Pelodiscus sinensis: one gene and its partner. The protein of the gene in region 1 interacts with the protein of each later gene in a biochemical or structural test. Links are inferred from orthologs where the notes say so. Each region holds a gene or a part of one and is shown on either strand. Other genes may lie near its edges.

Region 1 (6,931 bases):
ATTTTTATTTCCTCACCTTGCTAATGGGGACGTGTCTTTTTCCAGCAGGTCAGTATGTCGTTGATCTCAACTTATCACGTGTCAATTCATTACCATGGGCCTTTTGTGGTTCTCGATCACATTTACAATTTCTGTCCTACCCAGTTATTCAGTCTGGTCTCAACTGGTTATGTTGGGTTTTCTAAGTAACGATGTTCCTGCGAAACGCGAGGGCATTCTTGGGTGCGCCTGTGGCATGCAAAGTCCCTCGCTTGCACCGCCATGGAGCCGGGCAAAAGGTCCCAAGCAGATGTGAGCTAACTGCTTTCTGGGTGAAGGGTCCCACACAAAACTAACAACTTTGCCTTGCTCAACATACAGGACGTGGCCTGTAGGTCTCTTGTGTTACAGCCAAACTACCAGAATAAACAATTGTTTGGGGAAAAAATACAACAGCAGCAGGGGGGTTAGCTAGAGCAGGCATTGCCCTTTAAGCATCTTTTTTTCCTTTTGTCCTTGCGGCCTAGAAAGAGTTGCACTGAACAGTGTCTTGCTTAGTCTTCACACTTGCTCTGCAAAAATACTTGCAGGGTCAAAGCCGTGCCCCCCCCCCCCCAACTGCTAATTAAAACAGTATGTAATGCTAATTTAATTAAAAACCAGTAAATGACAAAAAGGGGCAGATATAATTGTATTCATCACCTGCTTATTAATATTAATTGTATGGAAGTTAATTTAGCTAAATAAGGGTTAATGTAAAGTAGTAATAAATGGGCAAATTAACATACTAAAATAAATAAAGTCTAACTGGTGCCAAATCATTGCCACTCACAACATTGTGTTGGGGGTCCAAGGTAAATGTGCGTCAACAGTAAAGTAGTCCATTAACCCTATCTGCTCCTCTGCCGCCTGTTTCTTCTCAAACATCTGGCATTATGAACAGGATCCCAGGGGAGAGTTGTGCCAGATCATCCTGTCTCCATGGGTAAGTCTGATGGGCTCTTTACTGCAACCACTGTTAGGGATTTTATTAACAGATTGGTAGGGAAATGGGAGGAGATCCTTATATGGATCCCTCCAGGCATCTTCAGGATTGGTCTGCCATTGAGGGGTGGGTGGAGGCCTCCCTGGCATCCAGGGATAGAAAAAGGTTGTGCTGGTGCAAGCTCTGTGTGAGGCTCTGTCGTGTTTCTGAAAAAAAGTTACTAACCTGAAAACGAAAATAACTCCACAGCAAATTGCTAAAAAGCAGCAAACCGTTAACCAAAGTGTGTTGGCAGCCACAATGGCTGAAAACGCATGTTATTTTTAATTCTCTTAAGTTAATAAAACCTGGCTCTAAAGAGTCAAACAAATGCCTTAAAGCAAGCTTCTCACCCCCATCCTGTCACCCACCTCCAGAGAAACAGAGGCTAGGGACACCATTCCTACTCTTCCTGGCTAATAACCATTGATGCACCTAACCTCCATTAATCTATTCAGCTCTTTTTTGAACCCTGTTAAAGTCCTAGCCTTCACCACATCCTCTGGCAAGGAGTTCCACAGATTAAACTGTGTGCTGAGTGAAGAAAAACTTCCTTTTGTTTGTTTTAAACCTACTGCCCATTAATTTCATTTGGTGATCCCTAGTTCTTATATTGTGGGAATAAGTAAATAACTTTTCCTTATTTACTTTTTCAAAACCAGTCATTATTTTATAGACCTCTATCATATCCCCCTTCACCCTTGTAAGTCTCCTCTTGTCTAAGCTGAAAAGTCCGAGTCTTTTTAATCTCTCTTCACATGGGACCCGTTCCAAACCCCTAATAATTTTTGTTGCCCTTTTCTGAACCTTTTCCGATGCCAGTATATCTTTTTGGAGATGAGATGACCATATCTGTAACTAGTATTCAAAATGTGGGTATAGCATGGTTTTATATAGAGGAATTAAGATATTTTCTGTCTTATTCTCTATTCCTTTTTTAATGACTCCTAGCATTCTCTTTGTTTTTTTGACTGGGGCAACAACAGTTTAAAAACAGCTTTGTCATGCAGAGTAAATAACAAGACAGCAAACATGGAACTGCTATGTACTTCAGTCACCTTCCTGATTAAAATGGTTCACCTTGTCTTAAAAGACAGTCTTTTGCAGCTACCCAATTTGCAGCCAAGGGTTTTAATTCAAACACTTATTGTTTTATGAAATGTGGCTTATGAATATAAATATTAATAAGTCAAAGGTGCTTTAGACAAAATACCTCATGAAACCTATAATGTAACAGTTTGCTGGATCTGTATATCTTATTTTGGTCCGTGTATCATTCTTGTATGTGAAGTTAGAAATATGAAGTGTGAGTCTGTTTATAGTTTAAAATGTATTAATGAGAGCCATTACTGGTGTTCTGGAAGCCTAATGACTTGGTGATCAGCTCAGTGACTTGTGAGCAGCCTTATTTGTCCTAAAAGCCCAAGTGGTGGTTGGTGCTAGAAAAACAGGTGACCATACCACCTGGTACTGAAATCTTTTTTAATTCTGTTCTCCGTGGCACACCTCCGACTGCCTTGGAACACAGTTTAAGAAACACTGACTTAAATCCCACTGTGTGTACTTAGTAAGAACACTTTTGTTTACTATCAGACCCAGTGTAAATAATTGTTACCTGGAGGGAAGCAACCACTCTGCTTCTTTCTGGCTATGTCTACACTGCAGAGCTTTTCCGGGATACTGGCGATATCCCGGAAAAGCTATACCGCATCCAAGGAACGTGTCTTTTTTCTGGACAGTTTCCCAAAAAGCAGACGTGTTCTTTTGGCATCTCGGTAGTCCTCATTGTATGAGGAAGAAGGGATGTTCTGAAAGAGGAGGTTTTTCCGAAATTTGGCCCCATGCAGTTGGCCAAATTTCAGAGAAGCCTCTTCTGAAAGAAAGAAAAAAAAAAAAGCGGAAAAAGATACGCAAATTGTGCTTTGCAATTTGCGTATCTTTTTCTGACTTTTCTTTGCGGTCTGGACATAGGGTCGTAGAGGGGTAACTTTCAAACCACGCAGTCCTGTGGCACCTTAGACTATGTCTACACTACAAGGTTTTTGTGCAAAAACAGCCGTTTTGGTCAAAAACCGGTGGAGTGTCCACACCTCAAGCACATCTTTGCGCAAGAAACTCAACAGAGCCGAGGGCTTTGGCCAGCAGCGCCTCCTCTGGGCGAGGATAACTCCTCTTTGCACTACAGCTCTGGGGCACAAAGGCAGGCGTGGCAGCGGGGGGCTCCCGGAAACGCGCAGGTGCGCTGTCCTGGCCGTGCGGGGGGACGCTCGCTGGCGGCCGGCGCGTGTTTGCCGCGGAGCCCGGCAGTGCAGACAGAGCCCAGCGCCTCACGGCCGGGCCGGGCGGCTTGAGGGAGCGGGCTGCTCCAGATCTGGGTCCGGTTACCCCAACTCTGCGCCTGGGCTGGGGGGTTGCTGGGCCCTGTCGCAGGCGCTCAGCCACAACCAACGGCCGCCGCAGACCGTTGCAGTCCGTGTTTTCCCGCCCGGGCGCGCGCAGCGACCGTTACCAGCCGGCCCGCAGCGTGGGGGCGGGGCCAGCTTCCGCAGAGGCGCGCGGCGCCCCCCCCCCCCCCCCGGCGTCCAATCAGCCTGTCGCCGACCTTCTGCACATGGCGGCATAGTCCAGTCCCGCACGTACTCAGGACCTTCCTCCTGCTCCTGCCACCCGCGGCGCGCTCCCCCTCAGCGACCGTCCCCCAATGGCGGGTGCACCCGCCGCGCCAGTCGGCCCGTTCCACGCCCTCCCCTCGATGGCGGCTCTCCGCGCGCGCCCCTTCGAAAAGCCGCAGAGAAATGGCGGCCGCCCCTCGTGACCTTCCAATGGCCGCGCGGCCTGCGCGGGACGATGACGTCTCCGGACCGTCGCCCTTTTTCGCGGGCTACTTGTCGTCACGTCTGGTAGGTGAGGTCAGCGCAGGGGCCGCCATTTTGGGTGGCGGGGCCCGGAGCCGAGCGGGGGGCTTGGGCGGCGGCGGCCCGCAGCGGGAGCGGCCCCCATGGCCGGGCAGTTCGACGCCGAGGACCGGGCGAGCTGGTACTGGGGGCGGCTGAGCCGGGCCGAGGCGGTGTCGCTGCTGCAGGGGCAGCGCCACGGGACCTTCCTGGTGCGGGACTCGGGCACCATCCCCGGGGACTTCGTGCTGTCGGTGTCCGAGAGCTCGCGGGTCTCGCACTACATCGTCAACAGCCTGGCGCCGGCGGGCGGCCGCAGGGCGGGCGGCGAGGGCCCCGGGGCCCCGGGTGAGTGCGCCGCGCCGGGGGGGGGGTTGTCCGACCCGGGCCTCGCTCGCTGGGCGCGGCCCAGCCCCCTGCTCGGGCTCCGCGCGGCGCGGGGCTTTCCCGCCCCCTGCGGCAGCGCTCGCGGCGGGGCAGCCACTCGCCCCAGATCGCCCGTCGCTCGGGGATCGCCCCGCCCGCCGGAGGCAGCTGACGCTCTAGCGCTGCCTGGTCGTGGAGCGATCGCACGAGGCGTTTGAAAACATTTGGCATAGTAGAGACTTGGGGGTGTGGGGGAAAGACCGTTAAATTCCTCGTTTTAATGAGAGATTCTTGAAGGGGGGGGGGAGATTTCCTTTGTTTAATTTCAAACCTCCAAATGACCGAGTCTGAAAAGGAAATATTTGAATTGCGTAATTTAAGTATTTAAACCGGTAACCTCTCTGAGATGTTACAAGTGGATGCTAAGCAAAATTACCCTGATTTTCTCCTTTCATTTGTGGAGAATAAGCAGATGTGTTATGCCTTCTAGAATGGCTTGAAATCTGATACATGAAAATACAAGTGTCAAACTGTGTTTTTAATCCAGTCACACAATATCATACATATAGGATCAAAGAAAAGTGGTTATACTTACCGGCTGGAGGACTGTATCCAAAAGCAGTGCTTCTGAATTTAGGAGTCATGCTGGACACAAGTTCCCAATGCAGCGCTGTTGCTAAAAGGAGTAATGTGATCCTTGGATGTATAAATGGAAATATTGAGCTGTAAGATACTACTTTTGAGTGGAGGATCACTGTAACCATTATTAGAATGTGTTCCATTCTATTGGCCACACTCCAAAAAGAATATGGAAAAATTTCGAGACAGTCCAAAAATTAGTCTCTTTGCTATTCTGGAAAACCTGAAATTCAGCAAGAGTAAATTAGTTCAATGTATTTAACTTTAAGAGGCGGTTACAAGGTGAATTGAACCTGGTATTTAAGTACCTTTGGAACCAGGATACTTATTCTGGAATAAAGTCTCATGTTTGCCTGTACAGACACATCAGAAGACCCAATAAGCAGTAGGGACTGGAAGTTGAAGCTAGTCAAATTCAACTGGAAATAAGTGTAAACTTTTGTGTGGAGAAGCAGCTAACTTTGGGAACAATTTAACAAAGAATGTGATGGATTCTCTATCACTTGACTGAATGCAGTCAAAATAGGACATTTAACAAGACATCTTCTTCCAAATTCAAATACAGGTTTTTGGGTTTGAGAAATTAATACGTGAAATGTTATGGCTGGTGTCATGCTGGACGGAATAAATTATCATAATGGTCCATTCCGGTGTCAAACCTTTTGAGTCTGAATTTTCTGCACCACTGCCTTTAAAATGGCACCAGAATGGGCATGGCAGATATGCCAGCCTTTCTGCTGGGGTATTAGCTTTTGTTTTGTAGTGTGCAAGATGCTTGGATTATAGGAACATAGTAATTCTCACACTGGATAAAACACATGGTCCATCTGATCCAACGTTTGTTCTGTGATGGAGGCCGGAACCACACAATTCAGAGGAAGGTGCAAGAAAGCTTGCAATAGGGAGTTGCAAGATAATCTGCTCCCTATTAAAACTCTCACTGACTCCCTAATACTTAGAAAATAGTTTGATCCCTGAAGCCTGGCATTTTTATCAGAGATGTGAATGGTTAACCAGTAAGCTTCACCCGTACCGGGTCATGCTTACCAGTTATGGTTAACTGGGAGCAGGGCCAGACTGGAGCAGCCCCCCCACCTGCTGTGGGCAGAGGGCTGCTCTAGTCTTTCTGGGCCAATGGTGTGTCGGCGAGGCCAGAACAGCCCATTGCGGGCAGGGGACGCTTGCAGCAGCCCAGCCTATGGTGCGTGCTGCAGACAGGGGGAGGGGAGGCAATCTAGCCCAGCTGGAGCAGCCTCCATTTAAGCAGTTCACTGGTTAAACATAACCTTCAGTGGTTAAATGATTAAATGGGATTTTTGCATCCCTAACTTTTAATACTTCAGTATTTACTATTAGCAATTTAATGTCCACTCTTTTTTAGTATTTTTCTTAGTCTATGCCATTCAGTAGCAGAGTTCCATCTTATAACCTGCGGGCAGGGAACCTGGCTGGGCTGCCATGGACAGGGGCTGCCTCAGTGGGCTACTTGCTAAAAGTGAGGCTTACTGGTTAACCTTTTACATCCCTACTGCAAACAAACAGCCTTCTTTTCCTGAGGCAGGGTCACTAGAATATGGAGATGTTTTTGGAGTGGGACAGATATCACTACTGAAAAATTGGGGTCCCAAAAGGACTTTGCTTTCCTTCTCAAAAAAGAGCCTAACACACACATCGTGAGCTTTTGTGGGTAAAGCCCACTTCAACAGATGACTGCTCATCAATGTAGATAAGTGAATGAAGTAATGGGATGGAGGGGAAAGAGTACAGTACAAATGTAATATAATCCGGCACCTTTAGGACTCAGAGGGTGCTGGATTATCAGATATGCCGAACTATTGGAAGGGGGGGCTATGAGGGGTCTGGGGTGGGGGGATACCACCTCAGACCCCTCATAGCCCCCCCTTCCGATAGTCTGGCTCTGCCCCAGGCATCCCTGGTTCAGCTGCTGCTGGTCAGTTTCAGCAGCAGCTGAATCAGGGAAACCTGCAGCAGAGCAGCTGGAGTGCTGCCGGGTTGGTCTGGTAGTGCC
Region 2 (7,812 bases), on another chromosome or scaffold:
CTGCTGGTCAGTTTCAGCAGTGGCTGAATCAGGACGCCTGGGGCAGAGCAGCTGGGGTGCTGCTGGGTTGGTCCAGTAGCGCCGAGGAGCGAGGAGCGGTGCTACTGGACCAACCCAGCAGCACCCCAGCTGCTCTGCCCCAGGCGTCCCCAAGTCAGCTGCTGCTGAAACTGACCAGCGCTGACTACAGGAAGCCCGAGGCAGAGTTGCTCTGCCCCGGGCTTCCTGGAATCAGCCGCTGATCAGTTTCAGCAGCAGCTGACTTGGGGACGCCTGGGGTTCTTAAGTTGAATCTGTATGTAAGTCAGAATCTGAATCTGGACGCCAGTTCCGACTTACATACAGATTCTACTTAAGAACAAACCTACAGTCCCTATCTTGTACGTAACCCGGGGACTGCCTGTATTGGTTTTTCTACTGATATATTGGAATACTTTTTCTAAGAAAAGTCCAGAGATCCTAAGAGAGGGAATTCAGCACAATGTGTTTCTTCTCAACATGAACTACTAGAGGACATGATCAGGTCACAAATATAAGCGAGATTAGTGGTCTCAGAGTAATTTTCCTGGACGCAAAGCTACATCACACACAACTTGGCACGTACAGAACATGAAATGCCAAAAATTGGCGTTAATATAAGGAGATGCAAATCAGAAATAAAGCATATTGCTTTGCCGCGAGAGCAAAACTTGGGCAATCATTGCCTATACTATGTCTTGTCATGCTTTGGTAGCTGTCCCACTTTCAACAGCACCAATTTGATACCCAAAAGAAAGAAAATAATCAAAACAATTGCTACTTCTGGACCCAAACCTGTAGTCCTGACTCACACAAGGAAGATGGTTTTTCCCCCAAGCAGGCCAGCATGAATAAGGCCCTGGAGTTTGCACTGTTGAGCTTCACACCAGTGCCAACAATCAGAATTCCTTGACCAACACAAAACAAAATGTCAGTATCAGGAGCACATGATGGGGAGGGAGCAAAAACTTTAAAATATTCCCACAATCCTTTTAACTGGAATCCTGACAGACTCAGTGCAGATTTTTATCTGTACACTGAAAAGCAGGATGCGGAGGAGCGAATCATGCTAATTCCATCATGTTTTCGATTATTTGCAAAGGATATATCCCTCCTGGAATTAAAACAGATTTGTCCTATGGACTGTCATTTCAGAATTATTTAGATGAATGCTGCACATTTTCTATAAGGAAAAACAGATCTCCAGCAAATAACATTCTTGCATCTTCAGCAATGGAAACAGTATATAGTAACATAACACTGTTATCTGATTGCAAACAATTGCAGCCTCAGTACACAGAGCTAGGCACCCAACATTTCCTAAGAAGAAAATCCCATGACATTGCTATTTACAAAAGTCCTCTGCATTGGTGTGGGAATTTTGAAATGTGTATTTATAATTGCATGGCTAATAGAAATTAGGAAGTGTGTGGGTTCTAGTATTTTTCATCTCAGACATTTGTGTTTAGGCTTTTGCCAGGCTTTTCTTATTACACGAATAAAGAAGCCTATTAATGAGGCCCAATGTTATACAACTTTGAATTTTTTCGTGGTATTTCAGTTCCTCAGTGGTTCAAATGCTGTATGGAGACCACATTAACAGTTCCCTCAAGGAAGGAAGGAAAGAAAAAAACAGCAGCTTATGAGAAAACAAATTCAAAGGAATCCAGATTTATTTGGGTTCCTTTGAAACACTACTAGAAATTATCCACTGCACCCGAGGCTGTGTAAACCCAAGTGGGTGGAGTCAGCATAAAATAGCTAAACTTAATTTATACGTATCATGCACTGAAATAGGAGAATCTAAGTCTTCTGCGTCCTACAGCTACGTCCATAAATAACTTTTGGTTTTGCAAAACAGCCTCAATCTGCAAGCCAGGTAGGAGGGTGACAGCCGTGCCAGAGAAGGCAAGTTTTAAATTAAACTGTCTCTCCACTCCTCTTTCTCCGCAAGGAAATATTTATGTGCTCTCAGTCCAGAAGTAGAAAAGCTCAATTGGATTGGAAGAGCAATAGAGGCTTATTTCCTATCAGCCACTGGATAAATGCAAGCCAAGGGTGAAGGAGAAGATCCATCCTGAAGATAATCAACACTGCCTCATTCTACAAGAATTTTAACTACATGATAACCTGGACTTTCACAGCTAGTTTCTAAAACCATACGGTGGCAATAGCAGTTAGCCACGAAAAAAAACATTAGAAGTACACTGAGAACACCAACTACTGTTCTCGTAATACAACTGGTAAGGATTATGTATTTTTTCCTATTTAAATTAGTATCACACAAAACATTTTATTTTTAGATTAAATAAATGCAAGTTTCAATTACACTAATTCCTACAATTTATACCTATTTTACTGGAAAATGCTTCAGAAGAGACGGTCATATAAAGGGTGAGGGATGAAAAAATACCAAATTATTATAGCCAACTACTTTTTATATCTACTATAATCTATAATAAAATCTGACTGCAGGAAATAATTTACCCTTCTTCTATACCAATATTCGAAATCTCGCTGGTCTTATCTTTAGGCTTTGTAAAGGAACTTGCATTATCTTTGTGATAATGACGTGCTTGCTTTTTTTAAAAAACACTGTCGTGCTCTAAATTTTTATTAGACATTGTTGGCTAAGACACAGCGTGAAACAATTATGTTCACTGCAGCAGCTAACGTATCAGCTTAACATTCTTTTTATTAGAGGAGGGTTTTAAAAAAAAGAACGCCTTTCAGGAGCATATCTCCGTGGGTGATTTATTGATAGCACTGACCTTTTGGATTCATCCCGATTGCTGCCAGATCCTAGCATCCCTGCAGTGGAAGCGGCTGTATAGATATTGGTAAAAGCAGCAGTAGGAGCTTCTGTCCCTCCCTCCATGTTTTGCGCGCACGCACACGCACGCTCACACACACACACACACACACACAGACACACAGACACACAGACACACAGACACACAGACACACAGACACACAGACACACAGACACACAGACACACAGACACACAGACAGAGTCTGCAGGAGCAGCTGGCTAGAAGCAGCAAGAGGAGGAGAACGCAGAGGAGTCACAGAGAAAGAGCTAAAAACTGAGGTTCTTTTTCCACCCAGTCCCTCTCCCCTTCTTTAATGATACAGTACATACAGACTGCTTTCCACCTCAGGCAGGCTCAGAAATGTCAGTTGTATGCAACACCTCCTGAAACATCACAGGAGAAAATCGGAAGTGAGAAGTACCAGGGTTCCCATTCTTCCTTCACCCACTAATACTGATTCATGTTTTCCTCAGGCTGATACAGGCATTTCCAGCTGTAACCCTTTCCAGGCTGAAGCAGGAAGGCTAACAAATCATTTCTATGCCATATAGTACCCCGAGGCAGGGAAGTAAGTTGGACATTCCAAATCCTAAATAATTTTAATAACTCTGTAGGAAATGGTCAACTGGGACTAAAAGTTAGGAAAACTGGATTTTATTCCTAGCACTGCCACAAACTGACTTTTACATAATTTTGTTTTGAGGATATTTACATGCTTCCCAGGGATGACTCAGAGACCTTAACTCATTGGTAAAGCACTTTGGACATCCTAAAACATAAGGAACTGTAGAAAAGCAAAGTTTTGTTATTTAACACTGAACCTTTAGTTTAACCTGCAAATCCACTCAAAAAAAGTGAGAACAGACCATTATCTACAGGAAAGTGATGTTTTAATAGGTGGATTAAATACCCATGAGAGGCAGCATAGTCTAGTCCAGTGTTTCTCAACATTTTTTTTATGAAGTACCCCCAGTACCTACAGTTTTCAGACGCACAAACTTTTTTTCTACCATTACAACACATTTATTTAAACAACTTAATCGTAGCCAGGCGGGCGATGTTTTGGTGCAAAAAGTATAAAAATAAAGTGCTATAAAACTTAAAACAAAAAATCAGTTTTCTCCAAATTTCAGTTGAGTTGACATCCCCCCCATACTTCTCTCTAGTACCCCTAAGGGTACTCGTACCACTGGTTGAGAAACACTGGTCTAGTCTACTATATATTTGAAAGAGTTTGTGCATCTGTCTGCCTGTCCATATGTCTGAGTCTGCTTGTTCCAGAGCTAGGACCACCCAATTTGGTATGCAGCTTCCTCTTATCATAACTTAAAGCAAGGTCACGGTTTGATTATTCCAGGACAATGGGAAAAGCACATGGAATGCTATTGTTTCGAATCAAATGGAAAGGGAAGGCTGTGATAGCAGGGACAGTTCTACTCCCGAATGACCACAGGGGACACAGTAAGCGCCCCAGCCTCAGGGAGCAGCCAACATTCACTCCCACCCCTTGCCCTGAGTTACCCACCCCCACACCTCCCAATCTCCTGTAACCTCAACCCCTGCCCTTAGCCTCTCCTCACCTCCAACTCTGTCTCCTCCACCCCCATCCCTGGCCCCCTGCCCTGAGCCGCCCTATATCCCGAAGCCCCTGCTTTGAGTCCTGCACCTCCCACAGCCTCAGGCCCCTGCTCTGAAGGACCTGAGCAATGCCAGGTAAATCTTCTAGTTAGTATTTATAGAACTGATTGAACAGGTGTACAGTACAAACTTATATCACTATAGGTATGTCATTCAGGGTAGATTGCGCTATGTCGACAGAGAGCTACTCCCGTCAACATAGATACCGCCTCTCGTGGAGCTGAAAACTACACCAAGCTCTTCCATTCTGTGTTCTTTAGGGAAGGAAATGGGTCTTATATCTGAATACGATGGTTTAAAAATGCTTATTACTAACCATAGATTTCACCACAGAGAAAAGTCCCACTGAAACCATTTCAACAGCACTATACTAGGATTAACAAGATTGACACTGATGTTTGCAAAGTGCAGTATAAATGAACGACAATATATTTCTTTAACAATCCTAATAACTAAGCATGCTCTTCCTAAACATTAGCTCAACAGGTTGCAGGAGGAAGGGAGGTTAGTGGATTGGCAAGTTTTGGCAGAGGTGAATAGCTGCAGGGAAAAACAATGGAACAGGTTAGACTGGTTCAGTGCCTAGACAGCCTGATTATTGTTCTTAGGGCCCTTTCTTCCAGAATCTGACCAATAGGAATGTATCTTTGCTCACCAAAGCAAGTATGCACAAGAGGGATAGGCTAATCCAGACTCCAGTGATGAAAGAAAAGAACACCTAGGAGAGGGGAAAAGTAGAGAGGAGATGTAAATGGGGGGGGAGAGAAGAGTCCTACAATAGGGGGCTACAGGCTTTATTGCGTCACTAAATATACCAGGGGCTCCTTGCATTCCTCCATTCCCCCATATGCTCTCTATGTGCCTCCTCCCATCCCTTTCTATTTCAGGATCTCTCTACAAACATGCCCCCTAATACCCTCCAGTTAGGGATGCTGTGCTCCCCACCTTCCTTCACCATTGTTATTAATCTTCATTCTGTTTTGTAGAGAAGTCATTCAGGATGTCAACAAGTTAAAGGCAAATGGGAGGCTAAGCAGAGATATTAGTTACACAGGAAAATATTACTTGATGCCATCAGCCAATTCTTCCATCTACAGACAACTAGGGAGGAGCGTGAAGGGAGTTTCCTGTGGCCTCACTTGCCCCCTTCTGGTATTCCAATTTTCCCCAAATCAATAGGATTTTTCCAACTGAGCCCTAGAACATTTCCTGAAATGTTGGAATTACAGACTGTAGTGTTTAGATATTAAAGTTACTGAATTAGAGAGAAATGCCTTGACTTGCTCAGCTGAAGATGAAGGACAAGTGCTTTCATAGACTGTATGGATGCAAGAAGGTGGTGATGAGTGATCTGTTTTCGGGGGTCGCCAGGGGAGGCAGATTTCAACCTTTTGAAAATGGATGATTTTAGAAATGATTAAATATTCAAGTGCGTTTTAGAACGATGGAATTTGTGTGAACGGTTGCTTAGCTACCTCTGAGGCGAGGAGTGTATATTCAGGACCTATTTATCAGTATTCACCAAGCTAAGATCCTTGGGCAAGCTGCAGTTACTGTCATGCCCAGGTCACTACTGCAGAAAGAGGGGCCCAGTGCAGAGCAAGCCCACATGGCACTCATTGCACAGCAGCAGCTCCTGTTCCACAAGGCTGGGTCCATCTCTCCTTTCTGGCAGCTGCAATCTACTGAGCAAGGTGACAGTGCCACTCCACTTGGCCCAGCCACCGCAACATGGTGGGAGCCAGACAAGCCAACTTAACGCTGTGGTGCTGTGACCCCCCACATCTGCCCCCAGCATCACTCATGCGTATTTGGCCCAGTCATCCCCCAGGGAGGCGCATCAGGGCCAAACCCAAGTGGCACTGCAATCCTGTGTGCTGAGCTGCAACGCCCAGATTGGGGAATCAGACCCAGCACCACTGCAGGATGAGTGTGGGATGGGGGTCACTTTCCAACCTCCCTTCTCCTGGGGCCTCCCCATCACCCTGGGCCAGGATCAGAATTCCAGTGTCAGGATGAAGGGTGCTCCTGGGAGTGGCCAGTGCCCCTTCACTGGGGCAAGGAGAAGGACTCTGGCCTATGATTTTTACAATACCCCCCCCCCCCCCAAAATCTGGATCCTCTGTGAATCACAAAAGAGCGGGGCAAAATGCAGCACTAAAAACGTCTGGAAAGCACTGCTCTAGATCACAGTCCTATGATTAGAGCACACTGAGAATGAGGTTAGAATATCTGTTGAGATTCAGCAAACTAGTATGCTGCAAGCTAGAGAATACTCTTCTGTACCTCCAAAGTAGTTATCAAACTGGTGTTTTGTAGAAAGTTACTGAGAACTCACAAGAGTGAAACTAAACCAGGGGTGGGCAATAATTTTTGCCCGGGACCACTTCAAAATTTGTTGAAGTAGCCCTGTCCACCCTGGAAGGGGAGGGGCCTAAACAGGAAGAGGTGGGCCACCCCACCCCCAGACCGTGATTGCAGGCTTGGCACGTTCCCTCACCCCCAGGCCAAACAGGGCCTGAGCGTGGGAGACACAGGAAGCCTCCTCCCACCCTGCGAGAAGCATGTGGCACTCTGAAGTGCCGCAGGCTCCTCCCAGGGCCGGGGCAAGGTGAAGGAAGCTTCATGCAGCTCCCTCGCCCCCAAACCCTGATTGGAGTGCACGAAGCCTCCTCTGCTCCTCCCCCCTCCCCTCGCGAGCAGCGCACAGCACTTCAAAGCACCACCTGCTCCTGGCAGGGCGGGAGGGGCTTCGGGCGCTCCCCCACCCCCAGGCTCTGATTGGCCTGGGGGCAGGGGAGCAGCAGGACCTCCATGGGCCAGATCCACCCATGTGGCAGGCTGGATACAGCCCACAGAGACCCTTTTGCCCACCCCTGAACTAAACCTATTTTGTAAAAGCAGCTACCGTTTCCAGCTCAAAGCTGATGAAATAACTAGCACCCAGCAAAAAAAACCTCATGTACTTTTTATTACATAAGTTACAGCAAAAGCTAACAGATATTCAAACACCTTTGTCCACACTACACTGTTATTACTAGAACTACTCTCTGTTGCAACCACAAGTTATGGTCTCCTGAATTTCGTGCTGCCAGTGCAGACTAGAAATCAGTGACTGCTACCATTTTAGGAACCATATTGTGAACACCTGCTGTACACAGGGTTAGAGGTCATTGCTTTAAACTGACAGCCAAAGCCAATCAATATAAGCATTTTCATCAATATACTTTTAAATCTACAGGTCCAGATAATCTGAATTCAAGAGCTTTAGAAGAGCTGGCCAAGGAGCACTTTTGGCCATTCACGTTAATTTTCAACAACAATGGGAATATTGGAGACGTT

What was found. The genes of interacting proteins can lie anywhere in the genome.
Region 2: the proteins of CRK (region 1) and ARHGAP32 form a complex in vitro, tested with the Homo sapiens proteins (2 studies listed by BioGRID and IntAct, with this or other methods). The link is inferred for Pelodiscus sinensis from reciprocal best matches to the Homo sapiens genes CRK and ARHGAP32.

Annotation. Positions count from the first base shown.
Region 1 is NC_134731.1:1,453,161-1,460,091, reverse strand, and holds the start of CRK (adapter molecule crk), read left to right. Parts: upstream 1-3,916; 5' UTR 3,917-4,001; coding exon 4,002-4,245; intron 4,246-6,931. UniProt on the Homo sapiens protein: Involved in cell branching and adhesion mediated by BCAR1-CRK-RAPGEF1 signaling and activation of RAP1.
Region 2 is NC_134736.1:11,486,325-11,494,136, forward strand, and holds the start of ARHGAP32 (rho GTPase-activating protein 32), read right to left. Parts: upstream 3,040-7,812; 5' UTR 2,897-3,039; coding exon 2,790-2,896; intron 1-2,789. UniProt on the Homo sapiens protein: GTPase-activating protein (GAP) promoting GTP hydrolysis on RHOA, CDC42 and RAC1 small GTPases. May be involved in the differentiation of neuronal cells during the formation of neurite extensions.